3 linked regions of the Alligator mississippiensis genome follow. The main gene of each other region encodes a partner of the protein of the gene in region 3 in a complex. Links are inferred from orthologs where the notes say so. Each region holds a gene or a part of one and is shown on either strand. Other genes may lie near its edges.

Region 1 (3,745 bases), on a different chromosome or scaffold from region 3:
CCTCTAATTTCTTCCATGCGAGCTCTGAAGGCTGAATGTTGGCTTGTCACTCATATATGAGGTCAGGGTGCAGTGGTGCACCCACTCCTTGATTCCTGGCCCACCCAAATTTTAAAGCCAACTGCCTGGCAGGTGCAGTAGCAATGAGGGAGTCAACTGACTTCATGGCTCCTTGTAAACTGCCTGATTCCTTCTATAGTCTTGATTCTGCCTGTTTCTCCTTTTTAAGTCTCGATGTTCCACTAATCAAGCTACCCTTTCTTCTGTAGTTCTACTGTCTGTTAGCTGTTTTTAACTCTATCTAAAAACACTAACTCAGCTGTAGAAATGTTAACTCGGGTGAACGTTTATTCAGCTGTATAAGCAACTTTCAGTGAAGTACTGGATGCATTATCAGGATTCTCAAGAAGGCTAGATTTTGTTTTATGAATCTGAAAAAATATACATTTTATTCTAATAGCTAATGTTGCAGGACTAATGCAACAATATCTTTGGATTATTTTGGCCAAGTTTGTTGTGTTGTTTTTTTTATACAAAGTACATGATATATAGCAAATTAATGCATGTTGCAGTTAAGTTATATTTGGTTTTGCTTTGATCTTAAATGGAATAATATAGCCCTTAGGCCCTTAGCATATTAGTAAAGTCTCTAGTTTCTTTTTAACTGGAGAAATATGTGTTGCGTTATATTTGATGTATCACCTCCCACCTTTTTCTCTTCCTATATGGAGGCCTCATGTCTGAGTTACACCCACTGGCTGTGTGGCATTGGATTGCAATATATCTTCACCACTTAACTTGTTCTGCTTCATGGATAGCCTTGCTTGTTTCAGTGTCACATTTCCCGTATGCTCCTTACCTCACAAGCAAACAGCCTGAACTGCAGCCCCAGGATCTTATAGTCTATCAGCAGGTTCCCTCGCAGCTGAGCCAGTGCTTCTTTAAAGTCTTCGACTGCTGAATCATAGCTGTAAAGCAAAGTTAATAATCTGTCAGGGTCCACCAAGAAAAGGGCAGGGCCTTTTGCTGGCTGGGCTGCCTGGTGCCTTTCAAGAATGCAGTCTTGTTCTCATCCTGAGTCACTTGGCCAGCTAATGACATGCCAGTAGCCTTTTACCACAGCCCAAGCCCTTCATCCTGAGTCATTCTTGGGAGAAAAGAGGCTGTCCAGATCTAGGCAATTGTGTTCTGACTCTTCATTGGCCAATTGTGCTTGCCAGTCTCAAGGCTTTTGAGTCTGTTACCTGCATCTGCTTTAGACCCAAAGCTGTGACCAGTGTTAATATTATTGTGTATCATTTATATTCTGGTTGTGCCCCATCACATTAGGTGCTGTGTACACTCCCTTTTGTAAAGGTTTCTTATATAGGATTTAGCTAATCCTCTCATTGCTTTTAAACACACACTGGGAAATTTCCGAGGCTCCCAAGAATAGTCTTCATCCGTAGGTTGGGACCACTGCTAAGCATGAGATAGTATTTACCTTGTTAGGTGCGTTCTGGCTCCAGTTACCTCTGCAGCATTCCAGCATGACTGACTTGTCAAAAGGCTTCTCTGCCAGTCAGGGAAACAAAGTTTGACTTTTACACACCCACCCACCTCACTTCCATTAGGGAGTTTCCAATACTTACTTTTCTCTCTTGTAAAATACTGTTCCTCTCTGGAAATAGGCCACAGCCAAGTGCTTGTCACAGTTAATACTCCTGGCAAATGCCTGCAGGGGATAGGAGATGATTCATACATGAAACCTATTCCCCAGAGAGAAGTTGCAAAGGGAGACCTGGATACGGAGTATAGGGATGGGGAGAAGGCAGCAGCTGCAGCTGCGGCTAGTGCTGCGGTAGAGGGGAGAGTGGAACAGAACCTGGCATGTGCGGTGCTTGCCTTTGACTGGTAGGAGGCATGAAACCAGCATCTCAGGAGAAGGGATGAAATGAAGGATGAAATGGAAAGGGAAATGTGGAGAGAAGGAAAAGGATTGTACCTCCTCTTTCCACCCTTCAGCTTTGGCTCTTGTGTTTCACCTGGCCAGAGGCCCATAAATTAAATACCCCCCCACTTCCCCCGCCCAGCACTGAGCAGCAAGAATTAAATGAAGTATGTGACCTATTGTGCTGTAACTGTCTCTTCATCCTGCTCAGGACAGGTCTATCAATTGCTGGGCCATCCTCCCTAATAGACCATTAGTCACTATGTGGCTGCCTGTTGGTGTGAACCGCCAGGTTGGCAAATACTCCATGTGGCATCATCTGGTTGGCTGAGCAGTGGCTGAGCTGCAGCACGGAGGAGTTCTTCCCCTTGCACCCAGCCAGGCCAGCTTGCCAGCTACCTGACAGGTTTGTGCCGAGTGCCCTTCAGCCTGTCAGGCACAGATGTGTCTGACCTGCGAGTCAGGCTGTCAGTCATTTCATCATCAGTCTACTTCTGTCAGTCCTCTCACTTGTCAGTGGGCCCTTCAGTCTATCTGGCAGGGCTGGGTGTGCCGCTAAGTCGGATTTGAATGTAGAAGAGGCAGGGGCAGGAGGAATCGAGATGCTCTTACTCACCTGCTCTGCCTCAGCCAAGTTCCCCAGGATCAGATGGATGGAGCCAATGTTAAAGCAGAGTTTGGAGGAGGGGTTCTGAACTGAAGTGAAGGCCTCCAGCGCTGCTCTCCAGTCCTTCTGATCGGCAGCACGTACCCCGTCATGCCATAGCTGGATCGTCTCAGCCAGAGACATGGTTCCTCAGGAGCCTTCAGTGGGGTATCTGGTAGTGCGATGGCAGGTCTCCCCACAACTTGGAGTGGCTTTTCCTTACTCTGGGCCCTCTTTCCTCTGCACTGCAGCTCGGCCAGTGCACTTCTACTTGTACTTCTGTATTCCCTCCAGCACCCACACAGTGTTCAATGTCGCAAACTTATCAGGAAGTGTCTACACTTGCCAATGAAAAACAGCCCTGCTGAGATGGGGAAGTACAGCAAATGCTGGCTGACGTGAATCCGAGCAGCCCCTTGCTGTGTTATTATAAATCCTCCTCCTCCACCCACGGCTATTCGCCTCTTTCGGTTTTTTTTTTTGCCTCATGGGATCTATAATTTGAGGCTTATGTTTGGCATCGCACTGCTGTCAGTGTAGTCACAGTTGAGTCAGAGTTCATCAGTGATGTGGCATAGAGGAACTGGGGCATGAAGAAAGAAGGTCCTGCCATGTTCCTGCAGCCGTGTTCCTTTTAAAGGAAGCGCGCACGCTCTTAACTTCCAAAGGCAGCACCTAGCTGCAGGCTGGTTGCTGATGGGAATTCCCCAAAACCTCTGTTGAGAGCGAGAACTCAATTAGGCTAATTATGCAAATGCTCTCTTTGATTGGAGGGGTCTGTCCCAATGCTAACCATTAGCCTTCAGCCCAGCTCCAGGTAGCTAAATATTAATAAGCTCCCACCAAGAAAAATCACAGACTCTCATGAACCATTCAACAGCCCGACTATATTAAACAGACTCAGAGAAGATACCAAAACAACAGGTACGTATGAAAAGTGATTAATACAATTATACACAATGGCAATTACAGGACTATATACACAAGTTGGGGGAAGAAACAACATTTTGAAGGGTCACAGCTAGGGACTGCACTTCAGACAACGCCTATCTCACTTAACCACATACAACACAACTTACAACAATTCTCAACAGCAGCAACAGCAAGTAAACCAGACCAGGCCCAGGTGCACCAAGCACAACACAACTTGCACTCCACAGATGCACAGA
Region 2 (3,745 bases), on a different chromosome or scaffold from region 3:
GTAGCTGCTGCGTGTGGCGCTGAATAGATGGCTCTGACCCCAGCCTGCCTCGGCTTTCCTTCCTGATACCCTGCCAGGGTGAGGGGGGTGGAGAGTTTAGGTGATGGAGGGGTCCGGGGTGGCTTGCACAGCGCTGATCCTGCCTCCGGCCCGGGTTGCAGGAGCTGTGACCTCTGCTGCTCCCTTCCCGCCTGCCTCCTCCCTGCCTCTATGGGAGCGGAGCAGGTTGTTCGAGTCCTGGGGCCACCTACCCGGTGTTGGGAACAGCCCCGCTGCCTCGTCCGGGCCGCTCCAGGTGCGGCTGTTTTATTGTCCACGTCCTTCCTCTTTTACAAAGAGAGGAGAGTTGCTGCTGGCCGGAGCGTGCGGTCGCTGCCGGGCTCCACCCCAGAAGCAGCTGCCTTTCTGAGGAAGCTGCGGCTGACTGGCCGTGTCCTGTAGTGGTAGCAGGGCTCGCTGCCGCATGCGCTTTCGTGGCGAGCTCGGACGTCTGCCCCCTGTGAGCTCTGGGCAGGGCTCGGGATTTTCCTTCCCCTGCGCCTGGGGTCTCTCTGGCTGCTGTCGTGCCACGTGTGAGCGGCTCCGAGCCTGCACGTGGGGGCTGCAGAGTCCAGGCCCAGCACGGGGCGGAGGAGAAAGCCTCCCCGTCCTCAGGGGCTTTCTAGGGGCTGGTCTGAACAGTGGGTACAAATCCCTGCCTGGGGAGGGCACACCTGCAGGCCTGGGCTGGATCCTGAGCAGGGGACGCGAGTTCTAGCCTCTCCCTGCCACCGACAAGCGTGCTGCTCTTGGTCAAGTCCCTGCACGCGCTGTGCCTCAGTTTCCCCCCACTGGTTCTCAGGCCCTTCCCTGGGCGCTTGGTTCTTGGCCCTTTTCCCAGCGGGGAGGAGACGGGCAGCCCCGTCAGGGTCCAGGAACGGGCCTGGGCTCCTGCCCCTCCGTGCCTCAGTTTCCCCTTGGAGGCAGTAGGGCCTGGGAGCCCCCTTTGCCGGGGGGGGGGGGGCGGACCTTCCTGGCTGCTGGGAACCCAGAGCCTGGGGGCAGGCCTGGGGGCGGGGCCAGCCCGGAAGGGGGCGTGGATTATGCAAAGCAGGGGGCGGGGCCGGGAGCCTGCCATCTCGGAAGTGGCTGCTACAGTGTGTCCAGGGGCGTCCGCCGGGCATGGGGGGCATCGAGTGGGCCATGTGGGCCAACGAGCAGGCGCTGGCCTCCGGCCTCAGTGAGTGGGGGGCAGGGGGCTGGCTGGGGGGCAGGGGCCCGGGGGGTAAAGGGGTAGGTTGGGGGTGTGCAGGGTACAGGCTTGGGGGCAAGGCAGCAGGGCTGGGGGCTGGCTGGGGGGCAGGGGCCCAGGGGGTAAAGGGGTAGGTTGGGGGTGTGCAGGGTACAGGCTTGGGAGCAGGGCTGGGGGCTGGTTGGGGGGCAGCTGGGCAGGCTGGGGGCCAAGGGAGCAGGGCTGGTTGGGGGCAGGCTGGGGGGGGTGCAGGGTGCAGGGGAGAGGGGCAGGGGGGCAGGGCTGGGGCTGGTTGGGGCAGCTGGGCAGGCTGGGGGGTGCGGGGGGCTGGGGAGGTGCCGGGGAGATGGGCAGGGGGGCCAGGCTGGGGGCTGCAGTGGCTTGAGAGGGAGGTCTCCACGGCCCTGCATGCCCCCTGCCCCATGGAGCTGGGCCCCGGCCCCGGCTTTGAGGAAGTGCCTGGCTGAAATGGGGAAGAAAGCTCAGCGCAGCGCCCAGCCGCCCCCACAGCCTGTGGCCCTGGGCAGGGCCCGGAGACGCCCCCAGGAACCGGGATCTGGGCTCCCCCGGATCCTGGGGAGCCTTTTCCTTCATCCAGGAGCTGGGGCTGCTCCGCATTTGCAGCAGTCGCCAGCAGCCCTGCCCCTGCCCCTCTCCGTGCCCCCAGGCGGGAGCTCAGGGGCACTTGGCTTCCACCTGGGCGGGTTTCTGCACCCACGCCCCCTGCGCTGCAGCCCCAGGGCCTGTGCGGGGGCAGGGGGAAGTGCAGGTTTCACTTTGAGCACGCCCAGCTGTGCCCCTGTCTCAGGGCTTTCCCAGCTGCTCCTCCCTGCATGCTGGGGTAAGCAGGAGGAGGCCCAAAAGCTCTTCCTTCCCCTTCTGCCCCCCAGCTTGTGCTGGCACCACGTTCAAACCATGCGATGGACAGGGTGAGCGAGGCGTGGGCTGTCCCTGAGCAAGCCAGGGAGCCCGGCCAGCTTACACTGCACTCAAAACCCACCCGGGGGCACATCACATCCATCGTGTCTAAGCCCAAGCAGCCCAGCTGGAAAGGCCATGCCCAGCTGACCTCCTTGCCTTGCGGCTGCACGGCCCAGGCGGTGCCCAAGGGGACCGTGCCAGACTGGGGTCACCAGTGCAATAGGTGCTGGTCTGGCAGTAGCCTGACCCCGACACGGCCGCCTTCCTGGCCAAGCTGGCCCCAGAGAGGAGCCTGGACGTGCTGCAGACCCTGGCGCTGGGTGCAGATGAAGCTGGGCGCAGACTGGCAGCTCTGGGTCCCCGCTGGGGATGTCCTGCTGTGGGACCTGGGCTTTCAGCTCCATCCCTGTCACCATGCTCAGGGGTCCTGGATAACTGGAGGTGTCTCCTGCCCACGTTGGATGAAGGCTGGACTTGTGCAGTGCCAGTCACCCGCACGTGGCACTAGCACAGCTGCCCCAGGAGGACATCCTGGAGGGGATGCACACCCAGGCGCTCTCCCCCAGGCCGGCTGGCTGCCCCCACAGCTGTGGACTTGAGGTCGCTGGGACCACGTCTGCCCACAGCCATTGCTGTAGCAGAGGCTGCAATGGAACAGCCCCAGCAGCGCCAACCGTCCACCGGTGCCTGTGGGCTCCTGCTTCCTGGCACCGCAGCCTCGCCCGGGCCTGTGGCTGGTGCTACCAGGAAGGCTGATGGCAGCCTCCCGGGCCCTGGTGATGCCCTGGGGGAGGGAGCTGCAGCTGGGGGTGGGCGTGTATGTGTGTTTGTGGTGAGTGCTTGCATTGTGTGTGTATGTGCCTTGTGTGTGGGTGGGCATGTGCAGTGTGTGAGCATGTGTGTGTAGGCTATGTGCAGTGTGTGTGTGCTTGCAGGGTGTGCGTGTATGCAGTGTATGTAGTGTGTGCTTGTGATGTACGTATGTGCTTGCAGGGCGTGTGCGTATGCAGTGTGTGTGTAGTGTGTGCTTGTGATGTGTGTATGTGCTTGCAGGTTGTGTGTGTATTCAGTGTATGTGTGCTTGTGATGTGTGTATGTGCTTGCAGGTTGTGTGTGTATTCAGTGTATGTGTGCTTGTGATGTGTGTATGTGCTTGCAGGGTGTGTGTGTATGCAGTGTGTGTGTAGTGTGTGCTTGTGATGTGTGTATGTGCTTGTAGGATGTGTGCATATGCGTTGTATGTGTAGTGTGTGCTTGTGATATGTGTATGTGCTTGCAGGGCATGTGTGCATGTAGTGTGTGTGTGGTATGTGCTTTCAGGGTGTGTGTGTATGTAGTGTATGCATAGTGTGTGCTTGATTTGTTTATGTGCTTGCAGGGTGTGTGTGTATGCAGTATATATATAGTGTATGTTTGTGATTTGTGTGCATGTGCTTGCAGTTGTGTGTGTGTGTGTGTGGTGTATGTGCAGTGTATGTGCACTTGTGTGTGTGCATGTGTGCATGGTTTGTGTGCACTTGGAGTGTGCATATGTGTAGTTTGTGTGGTGTATATGTGTGCTTGCAGGGGGTGAGTGTGTATGTACAGTGTCTG
Region 3 (3,745 bases):
CAAAAAATTATAAAAACAGGAAATTTCAGAGCCTACATACAAGTGAGGGCTTTTTTTTTTTTTTTTAAATGATTTTTTATTTCACACACTCCTACATTATAAATATTAATACACAGCTGGCACTTACAAGAAAAATACTTATGGGCACAATTGTTTTATTATATTTTTAACAAAAGCAAGTTCAAGGAATTCAAAACACAGACAACACCTTACGGGGGGAATTTTCACTTGTTCAGCAACTGCAATGAGTAGGAAAGGACCAGGAAATAGGCCAAAGGCTGTGAGAGGAGCAGTTTTATGGTACCTTCACACACCAGTTCTCTCCTGTGACCTACCATAAAGGTAAAACCCTGTTCTCACTGAAGTCAGTGCCTGAACTCTCACTGTCCTGCATGGAGCTAGACTTTCACTCATGGATCATGACGTGCAGGAGTGGCCAAGATGTCTGCTTTTTGTATAGAGTAACTGAAATTCATTTACCTCTTCTGCTTCCAGATGAATTTGCAATTAAGGGGGTGTGCTGCGTGAGAGAGATACCTCACGGAGGTAGAGTCACAGCATGTTCTGCTGAGCAGTCACTTGTGTAGCTACTACAGGTTAAAGGCATGATAGACAGGTTGTCAGACCTTCTGAAGAGAAGATCTTGGTACTGGCTTATTGAAGTGGCTAATATTTTTTCAGTTGTTCAGTTTCTTTTTCTATTAGAATCTTTGATACTTCAGAGACCACTTCCAGGTAGAGCAGAAAGGAGGAAAAAAAAAAAAAAAAAAAAAAAATCAAATAGTCTAAATGTTTCTTTTTTCCTCATCTCCATGGGTATAAATTTGTTGGGTTAGAAACCACACCCTCTTAACCTTTTTTCATCTTTGACCTCACCACCAGCCCCTTTTTTTCTAATGCTAATTTGTACCAGATAAGGACCCTTCAGTCCATATACTTCTGATAAGGGATCATTTAAAAACAACTGCAACCAAATGTGTGTTTCACTGTTCTTCCTGGAAACGTTGTGGATCATAAGTTCATTCAGTATTGACTCTGTAGTACTGGAGGAGTTCAGCAGCTCTTGGGGTGTCTTCTGGTGAGAAAAACATTTGGAGTGAGAAGGACATTGAGACCCTTACATACTCAAGTAGCTTGAGGAGCTGGGACGGTATGAAACATGCCAGCTATGACAAGGGCTGGAAATCTTTTCAGACTAACTGGCAAGGAGGGGAAAATGTCTACAGCATTGGCTGAGGATTCGAGCTGTGAGCTGGTGAGAAGAACAGAGATGCTGATGCATGCCTTGCAAGGAAGGAAATGTTAGGTAAGCCTCTGAAGGCTGTCCTGGGGTACAGGGCAATGAGAAGTTCCAAGAATGATTAGTTAGGAGGTAAGGAATGAGCACCAGGATGTAGTGATGAACAAATGAAGATGTTTCTCATTGTTCTAGAATGGGTGTGTTGAAGTCTATAAAGGCAGCAATATCTTGCAGTGGAAAAACCCTCCCATGATCTCTTTAGAATAAAAAACAGTATTATATTGGGAGGAGACTTAATTGAGGTGTCAAGACTTCAGTAGAAAATATAACAAATCACTGAACCATACAGTGGTTTCAATTTAACTCTATTCTAAGTGAATGACAAAGGAAATAGTTGCAGCCAGGCTTCTGTTCTCACTTCCTTCTGTGAGAAGATACAGATATTTCCTCAGCAGTAAGCCAGTACACTCTCTGTTCAGGCAACCATGGGCAACTGGGTAGAGAATGAAGGACTCTCCATTTTTGTTATTGTAAGTACAATCCTTTCTTGCAATTTATTTCTGATCACACATGCTGATTACTTGATGTTATTTCGTATATGATCCTGTGAAAAAGGGTGTTATATAGCACCTGAAGAGAGCTGTTACTAAGAGATTCTGGGTGAAATCCTAGTCCTGTTGGGGGGGGGGGGGGGGAGGAAACAAACAAACAAACAAACAAGGGACTTAACTTGTATCTTTTGTGCCAAGTCTCATTTAACTTGCTATAAATATGAATGTAATATAGATATAAAATGTCTGAAATCAAAAGAGCAAGCAACATTTAAATTTTGATATAAACTGTATACATTTTTTAAAAAGCCAACCTAGCAAATGATGGTACAGTAAAAGGCTTTTGAGAAGCAAATGCTAATAAAGCTGAACTAGATCACGATGTACAGTGCTCAGTGACAAGATTATGTGGGTCAGCGTTGCAGATTCCAGGATCCTGTATAGAGACGCACTGTTCACTTTCATGGCAGCTTCATGCAAACTTCAAGTAACGTGGTGTTATACTAGCCAGTATGTTCCTTTAGCTCCAGGTAGGTTACAAAAAAGTGGTTGGAAAGTAATTTGTGGGTAGAGGAATGGAGTCTGGCATATAGGGAGAAACGGTTAGTATTTGGATTCCCCTGCGCGCCCTCCCCCCCAAAAATGCATGTGCTTGCTCTAGGAAGCCATTAGGTATTTAGTTTTGTATTAACAAGATGCATAACTAAGTTAACGACTTGTCAAATTTTGTTGAAGCCGACACAAATACACCAATAGGAAAGAGGTGATTATAAATGTTCTCTGTACAAGAACTCAGTATTACCTGAATTTTAATAAGTATATTATTATTTCCCCTAAAGTAAGAAAAATTGTTTTCAAAGAGTTATTTGAAATATAGAAAGTAGTAAGGGAAGATGAAGAGAAGTAGTAAAGGGAACTCTTTTGCTAGAGGGTTTGAATGGAAAAATGTTCTGCTTTATTCACAGCTACTCTACAATACATTAGTTGCGCATCAAGTTCCTAATGCAATATTAAGAATTTTTCTAAAAACTTTTTTCATGGAGCATGTAAGGCCTAGGCTAACTGCAAACTCCTTTACAACCACAATGGTGGGCCAAGGAACACTGCAGGAGTTACCCCTGAAGCCAAAGGTTAGGTATAAAGGAAGCTGGTACTACAGTTTGTCAACTTTGATTATAAGCATAATATTTAAAGTTTACCCCCCCACCCCAATCTCCCTGCTCTACCATGTTTGTGCACCATTAGCCAGGAGCAGCATGGTGCAAACTGTCCGCAGTTTAGAGCCATTTCACTGTGTGGCTTGAAGTCCAAAAGCAAGTAGCGTCAAGCTAAGGGAAATGTACTGACTCAGTGTGATTGGGTTGCAATGGGAGGGCTGTTGCAGGATGGCTAGGAACCCTCCACCACACCCTTGTTTTTGGCACAACCCACAAATGTGGATCTGACCAAAGATACGCAACTGAAATGATATTCTAGCCGTTAATAACAGGCACCAGCAAAAGTAGATGCGCATGGGCCCAGTGTCACATGGATCTTGCACAATCACATAGCTATACCTATGCATTTAGGCAAAAGAGGACTCAATTAGCTGCTGTAGGATTGTGGCTTATTTTCTCCATCTCTCCGAGCAAACTAATCCCACACCCTTTAGCAGATCTAGCCTTCCTTCCAGTACAGGCCAATGCTGTATAGGGCAGTTACACTTAAGGAAGTATTTAGCACCCTTAAATAGTAGAAAGCTGTGAGTGAGGAAAACATTATAGAATGAAAGAGCAGATAAAAAGATTCCCTTTGGTAAACAAAACAAAACAACCTCCCCCCACCCCCAAAGCCTATCAACCCTTACTCTCCACAGAGAAAAGTCAATCTCCATGAAGTTAGAGTAGTCAGAAGGGATGAAGATTCATAAGTTAAGAAAAGAGACTATTAGCTCATCTGGTCCAGCCTCCTCTAT

The links.
Region 1: cytochrome b-245 heavy chain (region 3) and NCF2 share a complex: the UniProt entries of both Homo sapiens proteins name them as parts of the phagocyte NADPH oxidase complex. The link is inferred for Alligator mississippiensis from reciprocal best matches to the Homo sapiens genes CYBB and NCF2.
Region 2: the proteins of cytochrome b-245 heavy chain (region 3) and cytochrome b-245 light chain are in contact, whole or in part, in a cryo-EM structure (PDB 8X2L), measured with the Homo sapiens proteins. The link is inferred for Alligator mississippiensis from reciprocal best matches to the Homo sapiens genes CYBB and CYBA. Residues at the interface, in NP_000388.2 of Homo sapiens: Thr116, Ile117, Leu120, Phe121, Val123, Glu124, Asn128, Asn133, Lys161, Asn162, Pro163, Gly166, Leu167, Ala170, Val180, Thr183, Leu184, Ile187, Leu188, Thr191, Ser192, Thr194, Lys195, Thr196, Ile197, Arg199, Ser200, Tyr201, Glu203, Val204; in NP_000092.2 of Homo sapiens: Gln3, Ile4, Glu5, Trp6, Met8, Trp9, Glu12, Gln13, Ala16, Ile20, Thr23, Val27, Gly31, Phe33, Thr34, Gln35, Arg56, Arg59, Met65, Gly102, Phe103, Leu104, Leu105, Ala106, Ile108, Leu109, Ala112, Cys113, Ile116.

What each region holds. Positions count from the first base shown.
Region 1 is NC_081828.1:54,297,185-54,300,929, forward strand, and holds the start of NCF2 (neutrophil cytosol factor 2), read right to left. Parts: upstream 2,907-3,745; 5' UTR 2,721-2,906; coding exon 2,547-2,720; intron 1,715-2,546; coding exon 1,632-1,714; intron 969-1,631; coding exon 860-968; intron 1-859. UniProt on the Homo sapiens protein: Subunit of the phagocyte NADPH oxidase complex that mediates the transfer of electrons from cytosolic NADPH to O2 to produce the superoxide anion (O2(-)).
Region 2 is NC_081833.1:75,249,153-75,252,897, reverse strand, and holds the start of cytochrome b-245 light chain, read left to right. Parts: upstream 1-1,099; 5' UTR 1,100-1,161; coding exon 1,162-1,219; intron 1,220-3,745. UniProt on the Homo sapiens protein: Subunit of NADPH oxidase complexes that is required for the NADPH oxidase activity that generates, in various cell types, superoxide from molecular oxygen utilizing NADPH as an electron donor.
Region 3 is NC_081824.1:306,491,380-306,495,124, reverse strand, and holds the start of cytochrome b-245 heavy chain, read left to right. Parts: upstream 1-1,383; 5' UTR 1,384-1,725; coding exon 1,726-1,770; intron 1,771-3,745. UniProt on the Homo sapiens protein: Catalytic subunit of the phagocyte NADPH oxidase complex that mediates the transfer of electrons from cytosolic NADPH to O2 to produce the superoxide anion (O2(-)).